Struthio camelus: one gene and its partner. The protein of the gene in region 1 interacts with the protein of each later gene in a pairwise test. Links are inferred from orthologs where the notes say so. Each region holds a gene or a part of one and is shown on either strand. Other genes may lie near its edges.

Region 1 (3,746 bases):
ACGAAGATAAAATGGATAGAGTTGCTGGGGAAGAGGAGAGAGGCAAGGCAAAGGAAAAGAGAAGAACATGGGGCATTCACTCCAAATCATAGTTGTAAAGTAATTTAGATTAGGAATAAATCAGCATTTCTAAAGGAAAGGCACCATGCTTTACTAAACATGCTGCCCAGTCGCAGCTTCACACACACCCCTGTAAATCTCATAGTTCATTAGCAAGGTGAGTAAGCATTTTTAAATATTAAAGCTAGCTTTTTATGATTATCTACTTATCGGAAATGGTAACTTTCCAGCTTCAGAAAAAAATTGCCATACTTACTGATGTCTGCAAAGCACTTTAGAACCTTCAGACAGAAGGCACCACCAAACTGAAGATTATTATTAAACTTACCTATAACATATATTAGGAGCAGCATCTTTTTTGTCCAAAGATTGTGCTCCTTTTAGGTGTAGTTTATTCCGATACATACTTTCTAATTTCGCCATGGTCTCCAGGTGGGCGTTCTTCAGTTCTTCTAGCTTCAAGTAATATTCTTGATTTGAATTGCACATTTTGGAAAAGTCCATCCACTTGTCACAGTTCCCATTTACAGAGGTCTGCTCTTTGTCAGTATTTGAATCCAAATCAAAACCATCCTGGAAGAGATTTTTGTCAAGTTTTGTGAGTGTTAGAAGAAAGGGGACCGAGGTTCATAATATCACTTTATCTGATTAAGTCCAATGAATGGTACAGTAACATCAGAGATACATATGTACAGATTTGAATGCAACATTATATGGAATAGCCTTATTGTATAATAATTTATATACTAAGGGTTCTATCTAAAGCATGTTAAATTCTTAACAGTCTATCCCTGTAATCAGGATATTATATCAGGAAATAAGATCAAAAGGAGTTATTAAAAGTATAACTTGTTTAGCACTGTAATTTTTCCTTGGTGAATTTTTTCCCATGGTGAAACATGCAGCTTAAAAAACCCACATTTTTTAAACAAACTTCTCTGCCTCTCATTTTCATAAGTATTCTCATAATAAGTCATGTGGTATCTTTTGCATAAATGTTTCTATTATTATTTCACAGTGAATTGTGGAAATGGGAAGTATTTTGCATAACTTTCACTTTAAATAGTGTTTCCGCCAGCTTGCACTTTGGGGCAGGTAAGCACGTTCTTTAAACATAAAGCTTGAACAAGTCAGAGAAGTAAGTATTATTAAAAAAGGCTTCTTTTAAGTCATTTTTTGGGCACTATGTTTTAAGAAGTTACAGGGTTAATTTCTTCATCTAAACAATTAGGATAATACTGTTCCACACAGGTATTTTAATAGGCTTTTACATGCCAACCAAAAAAGCCTTGTTTATGTTTTGTCATGTTTTCGGTCCAAAAATCTCAAACTTGTTTTCTCCGTAACGCAGCGATCAAACATAAAGCGAATGCCATGATCAAATAAATGAATTTAAAAAGCTGTTAAAGCATGCCCGATGAAAGGCACCAGCTGAATCTTCCTGAAGCTGTTTCTTTTGACACTGTGTATGCCTCTCTCATTTCAGTTCTTCATCCACGGAAAGACCCCGTCTTTTCCCTCAAGGCAGGCACCCCGCTTCTTCAATCCGCTCTTGGATCCCTTCGGCCCGACGAGCTCATTAAGAGCTCTGCGCCGGCCCCGGCAGCGCAGCACGGCCATCTGTTCCGCGTGCTAAATCAGGCAGATCTCGTCCCCTGCGTCTGCTCTTCCGCCACGTCACTGGTAAGGTCTTCAAAAACGGGAGCTTCCCAGGCTATTTTTACCCCGAGAGCAGCAGCAGCAACGTCGCAGCCAGGCCCCGGGGCGGCGGCGCTCCCCGCTGCCGGCGCAGCTCGGGCTCCGCAGCGGCTCCCACAGCTCGGCCGCCGCCTCCTTCGGCAGCCCCTGCCCGCCGCCCGCTTACAGAGAAAACCCGTCCCACCCGCCTGCCCCCCCCCGCAACAGCAGCCTTGCTGCTGCCCAGCGCCGCCGCCGCCCGCGGCCTCCCGCTCCCGGCGCGGCCCCGCGGTACCTGCTGGGGGGCGGCGGGGGCCCGCGGGCGCGGGGGGCGGAGGCCGGAGGCGGCCCGGGGCGCCGCCGCCATGGCGCCGGCGGCCGGCCGGTTGCGTGCGGGGGGAGAGCGCGGTGGCTCTGAACGCAGACTGCTGCTCTCCGCCCGCCAGCGCCGTTTCTGGCTCTTGACGGGGAGCCGGCAGCGGAGGCTGCTGGGGCCCGGCGGGCTCCTGCCTGTTGGGCGGGAGCCGCGGCGAGGGGATGGGGAGGGGGGGCCCGCCGCCCCGCCGCGGCACGGCCGGCTCCTGCCGCCCTCGCTGCGTCTGCGCCTTCGGCGCTGCAGGGCGGGGTCGGGCCGCGGCCGCCGAGCCGCTCGGCCTGCGCGGCGCCGTGGCCGAGGGCGCCGCCCCGCGCACCGGCCCGGCGGCGGCGGCTCCCCCGCGCCGCTGGGCTGCCGGTGCCGCCTTCCAGCTGCGAAACGGGCATGACCGCGAGCCGTCACGTGCTAGCGAAGAGACACATCAAATACTGCATTGAAATTCGTGTCTGTTCAGTCTGAGGGCAAAAAAAAAAAAAAAAAAAAAACCCACCCAAACCCACCATTCCTACTATACAGACTCATCTCCTAGATAACTTTTTGCAGGATTTTTGCTGGAACGCTGCATTCTCTTTCCCAAACCCAGTCTCCCCCCTGCCCCCAGCTCGAATTATTAAGCACTCTGCTACTTTAAGAGCAGTTCCTACTTGAAATGAGCAAATAGTTGCAGAATAAGGGTAAACTGGGATCATCAGGAATACTCTTCCACTTCCATTAATGATGGCTGGACCTATTTATTTTAGTGAAATTACAAGTACTTTTTAATGCAAAGAAACAGATGAAATGATCACATTGTACAGGCTAGCTGTTAAATCTTGTCAAGAATTGGAAATCTGTGAGGATTGGGAAGGAAAGCTCTAATCAAGAATTAATACCTGAACTGGATAGATCAGTTTAAAAGACTGGCCTCATTGCTGGGAGTAATCCTGTGAGGTAAGGCATAATTCATATTTTTAATTAGCCAATAAATCATGCATACAGAGCTTAAAGCCTAAATCAGTTAATTTGTCTTCTTTTTAAAATATCTGAATTATTCTGAATGATATACATAGCCATAAAAGTGATGATTTCAACTAAACCTGGTCAACACATTCAGTAACAGAAACTTCCTCAAAAGCCACACATCTGATTTTGATAGCAAATAAAAATGCAATAAATTTTGGGAAGAGAAATAATCTCGTTTAAATATAAAGAAGAATCTGATCATCTCAATATAGCAACGAAGAGGATTACAGCATTAATTCAGACTTTCATCCTAAGAGTTAGAAGCAAGTTGAAATATTTTTACCCTAAGCCATAAAATGTAGTTAACATTCACTCTAAACTGAATGAATCCTGATGTAGCCAGGATTCTCCTGTTAGCCAAGGTAAAACCACTGCAGTGCAGGTCACAACCCTGCTAACAGCTCAGCCCCATGAAGTGACCCTACTCATCCTGTGTACGCAGTGCTAGCTAACGCACTGTCCAAGATGCGGCAAGACCACGAAGCTGCCTTTTCGAACAAGAGTACGTATTTCCTCCAGGTATTAATAGAATTTAGGATGTATTTGATGAATTGCTTCTTAAAATAGGGCAATTTATCATTTGACTTCCCAGCCTGTTTTGGGAAAATCAACTAACTGTTGCAGTGATCTC
Region 2 (3,746 bases), on another chromosome or scaffold:
TGCCCTCTTGCTAGACAATCAGTCCTACTGTGTTAACACAGACAAGGATATTCATTTTGAATCAGAAATCCTTCATATAATCTTCAAAGTGAGGCTGAATACTGGGTGTGATTTTGGGCATCTTGAAATAGAGCTAGGAGGCTAGATTTGCTGGCAGCTTTTCAAAAGGGAAGGAAAACAAAGGTGATTTTGCCATCCTTATTTTTTAACTCCTCTTTCCTGAACCTCATCTATTCTGAAAAAAGACTGCTTTGTCCACGCAACCAAGACATTAGTTTATGCTAAACTCATGTAATAGCATAGATATGTAACAGCATAGATAATTTGTAACTAGGTGAACCTATGTATTCTTGCAAAACAGTTACTAAAGACAGATGTTAGTACAAAGTTCTTTCCTTATGGAATCACAGTTAGATCTGTTTTTTATGCCCAAATACTATGCTTATGTGCTCTTTTTCGTGTCTGATAGGTATTTATCTGCAGTCTGCTCCATGATAGTTTAGTAAGAGCAGGGCTTCCAGGTGTCCATTTGGAGATGTTCTTGGAGGCAGTGACTTTAAGGTAAAATCCTAGGCATAGTGAAACCATGGGCATTTTGCTAAAATCAGCATTTTATGATCCTGACTATAGGAGTAGATGTAGTATAGCAGAGTTAAAGAAAATACCTACTGTTTTTCCTCATCCACCCTTCCTGGAAAGGTGCCTTTAAGGTACAAGATCAATCTGCATTTATTCTAATAATACCACTGCTCTTCCTCCAATAAAAGGGAAAAAATTGACAAAAAATCCATTGTGAAGAAAGTGGAAGTACTCAAAAACTACTATTAAAGGGAAGCTACACATTCCTGAAGTTGATTGTGATTAAAATGCATTCTTTTTTTCATAAAGGTGGAATGCAGTGCAGCCAAAGAAAATTTGTTTCAGATATTGTTGTTTAAGAGAGCGTTCTCAAATCACAGCTCTCCAGATTGGATGGAAAGAAATAAAGAGGTCACTGTTAGGCTGAGAGAGAGAAGCTGGAAGGAAATTAAGCAAAACAATGAAAACCTATTCAAACAAAATTAATCTCATTTAACTGTCCAGCTCATTCACTGGCAAAGAACCTTATTTTCTACAGACAAAAGCAGTGATTTTTAGATGAGCATTTTGAGAAAGAAAAATCCTTCAAGAGGCTACAAGTGGGGTTTGTGCATAAAGTTTTGAAACGACAGTGTTCTCATCCCTCCTGGCAGGCCTTCTTTTTTTCTGAGAATCATTTGTCAAGCCTTTCCAAACACATTTTCCTGTTTTGAGAACAAATTGCAGGTGACTTAGTACTTGAAAGCCACGACTGGATAAAATGTTTTCAGAAAAGTTTTTTCATGAAGTCCTGGTAGACAACAAGTTGACCATGAGTCAGTAATGTGCCCTTGTGGCCAAGAAGGCCAATGGTCTCCTGGGGTGCATTAGGCAGAGTGTTGCCAGCAGGTCGAGGGAGGTGATCCTCCCCCCTCTCCTCAGCCCTGGTGAGGCCTCACCTGGAGTACTGTGTCCAGTGCTGGGTTCCCCAGTACAAGAGAGACATGGCACTCCTGGAGAGAGTCCGGCAGAGGGCTATGGAGATGATTAGGGGACTGGAGCATCTATCCTGTGAGGAAAGGCTGAGAGCTGGGCCTGTTCAGCCTGGAGAAGAGAAGACTGAGGGGGGATCTGTCAATGTGCAAAAGTATCTGAAGGGAGGGTGTCAAGAGGATGGGGCCAGACTCTTCTCTGTGGTGCTCAGCGACAGGACAAGAGGCAACGGGCACAAACTGAACCACAGGAAGTTCCATCTGAACCTGAGGAAAGAATTCTTCACTGTGAGGGTGACAGAGCACTGGAACAGTTTGCCCATCCTTGGAGATATTCAAAAGTCATCTGGACATGGTCCTGGGCAACGTGCTCTAGGTGACCCTGCAGGGGGGTTGGACTAGATGATCTCCAGAGGTCTCTTCCAACCTCAACCATTCTGTGATTCTGTTTTGAAATACCCTTGTCCTTTAAACACTGAAGAACTGGTAACAAAGTCCAAAGGTCTTAAAAGAACAGTATGCTTCAGAAAGAGAGCGGGTGAGCCCAGCAGCACCACCAATGCTTCCTGGAAGTGGAGTACCAGAGAATTCACGGGGGTGTTACCTGGGTCTCGGCAACGGTGCGGGGGCAGGAGTGCCACAGAAGAAGTGGGTGCTGCATGGCACAGGCCCAGAAAAAAGGGCTGAACGGCACGGGTCTGAAGAGGTCACAGGCTTTCCCCATCAGTTCTCTGTCAGACCGCCAAAGCTTTGCCTCCCTGCCCCAGCAAGGCGGTTCCCAGGGCCTGCTGCCACAGCTCTCCCCGAGCGGGGGCTGCCTCCCAGGGCGGGAGGCTGCGATTCTCCCGGCTGGAACCGATCGCGGTGCCCCTTGCCCGCCGTGATCAGCCGCAGCTGCGAGGCCCCACTCTGCCCACGGGCTACAAAGGCCGCTGCGCGGCAGCGCGGGCTCCGCCAGCGCGGGGCCTGAACCGCGCGCGCCCCCGCCCTCCCCCAGCCGCGCCGCGGCCCCGGCCCCGGCGCAGATAACCGCGGTCTGCGGCTCCCGCCCCCGCGGCGGGCGGGCCGGCCGGCCCTTCCCCCCCGCCCAGCGCAGCTCTGCTCGGCGGGCCGCTCTCCGGGCCCAGAGGAGCATGGCTGGGAAGCGCGGCGGCTTTCTGCAGGAGGCCTCTCACCAAATCGTCGCTGGAGGCTCGGCGGGTAAGCGGGCGCCTTCCTGCCCCAGCCCTCAGCGGCCGCCTCGTCGCCGCGCCGCCGCCGCTGCCTTTCGCTCTCCTCAGGCGCAGAAGCGGCGGCGGCGGCGCTTAGCCTCGCGCGGCGGCGGCTCCTCCCCCGCCGGGCGGCGCTGGGCGGCCCCGCGGGGTCGCGGTGGCGGCCCCGGGCCGGCGGTGGGGCAGGCGCCCCCTCGGGCCCGGGCGGGCCGGGCCGGGCCGCGGCAGCTGGGTCCGCGGCAGCGCTGGGGCCGGGGGGCGGCGGGAGGCGGCGTGCCCGCCCCGCCCTGCCCTGCCCTGCCCCCCTCCCTCCCCGCTGCGGGAGCCTCGGCGGCCCGCGCCCTGCAGCCCCTGGGCTGATAAGGGGCTGCTGGCTGGCTGTGACCGCCCTGCTGGCCCCCGGTGATCGTCTCTAACAGGCGGCCGTTGCTTCTTTCCTTTCTTTGAACGTGGACTTAGTGCAGTCTCTGTGACCCGCGTGCTTGCCGGGGGCCCGCGTCAGCCTCCAGCGGCGCGTTCATGCCGGGTGGAAAAACTTCGTTCCGTTTTTGAAATGTGTTTGCTGTGGCGCTTTCCCTTTGACGCTGCCTCATAGAGAAAACGACGCTAGAGCGAGCTGCGAGTGTCAAAACTACATATGTTTACCCAGCAGTGAAAGTATTACTAGTTCATTTCTTTGGTCCCTGTTTAGGGAGAGACTTGGATTATTTAGTTTAACGGCGTACAGAGCATTTAGATGGAAATACTGCTCTCTCAGTGGGAGTTTGTGTCCTGTTAGCATTTCAACTCTGTACTGTTTTTTAATTGTTCTTAAGTATCTCCTTCTGGGTCGAAATGCCCTGTTTGTTCTGATGGTGCTCTTGTAGGTCAAGCCTTGTTTTATGCTTATTCTTTGCAGCACAAGCTTTTTTGGGGGGCACATCCATAGAAACAGTCCCAACAAAATTCACCAGTGCGAGTAAAACAAATATGGAAGTAAAATGTT

The links.
Region 2: the proteins of FAM161A (region 1) and MIPOL1 interact in binary tests that used the Homo sapiens proteins (3 or more experiments, as listed by UniProt). The two-hybrid records come from large-scale screens. The link is inferred for Struthio camelus from reciprocal best matches to the Homo sapiens genes FAM161A and MIPOL1.

What each region holds. Positions count from the first base shown.
Region 1 is NC_090944.1:131,151,663-131,155,408, reverse strand, and holds the start of FAM161A (protein FAM161A), read right to left. Parts: upstream 2,311-3,746; 5' UTR 2,105-2,310; coding exon 2,033-2,104; intron 634-2,032; coding exon 389-633; intron 1-388. UniProt on the Homo sapiens protein: Involved in ciliogenesis.
Region 2 is NC_090946.1:56,351,949-56,355,694, reverse strand, and holds the start of MIPOL1 (mirror-image polydactyly gene 1 protein), read right to left. Parts: upstream 2,895-3,746; 5' UTR 2,751-2,894; coding exon of another isoform or gene 2,684-2,750; exon of another isoform or gene 2,562-2,683; intron 1-2,561. Other genes in the region: SLC25A21 (mitochondrial 2-oxodicarboxylate carrier), read left to right, coding at 2,684-2,750.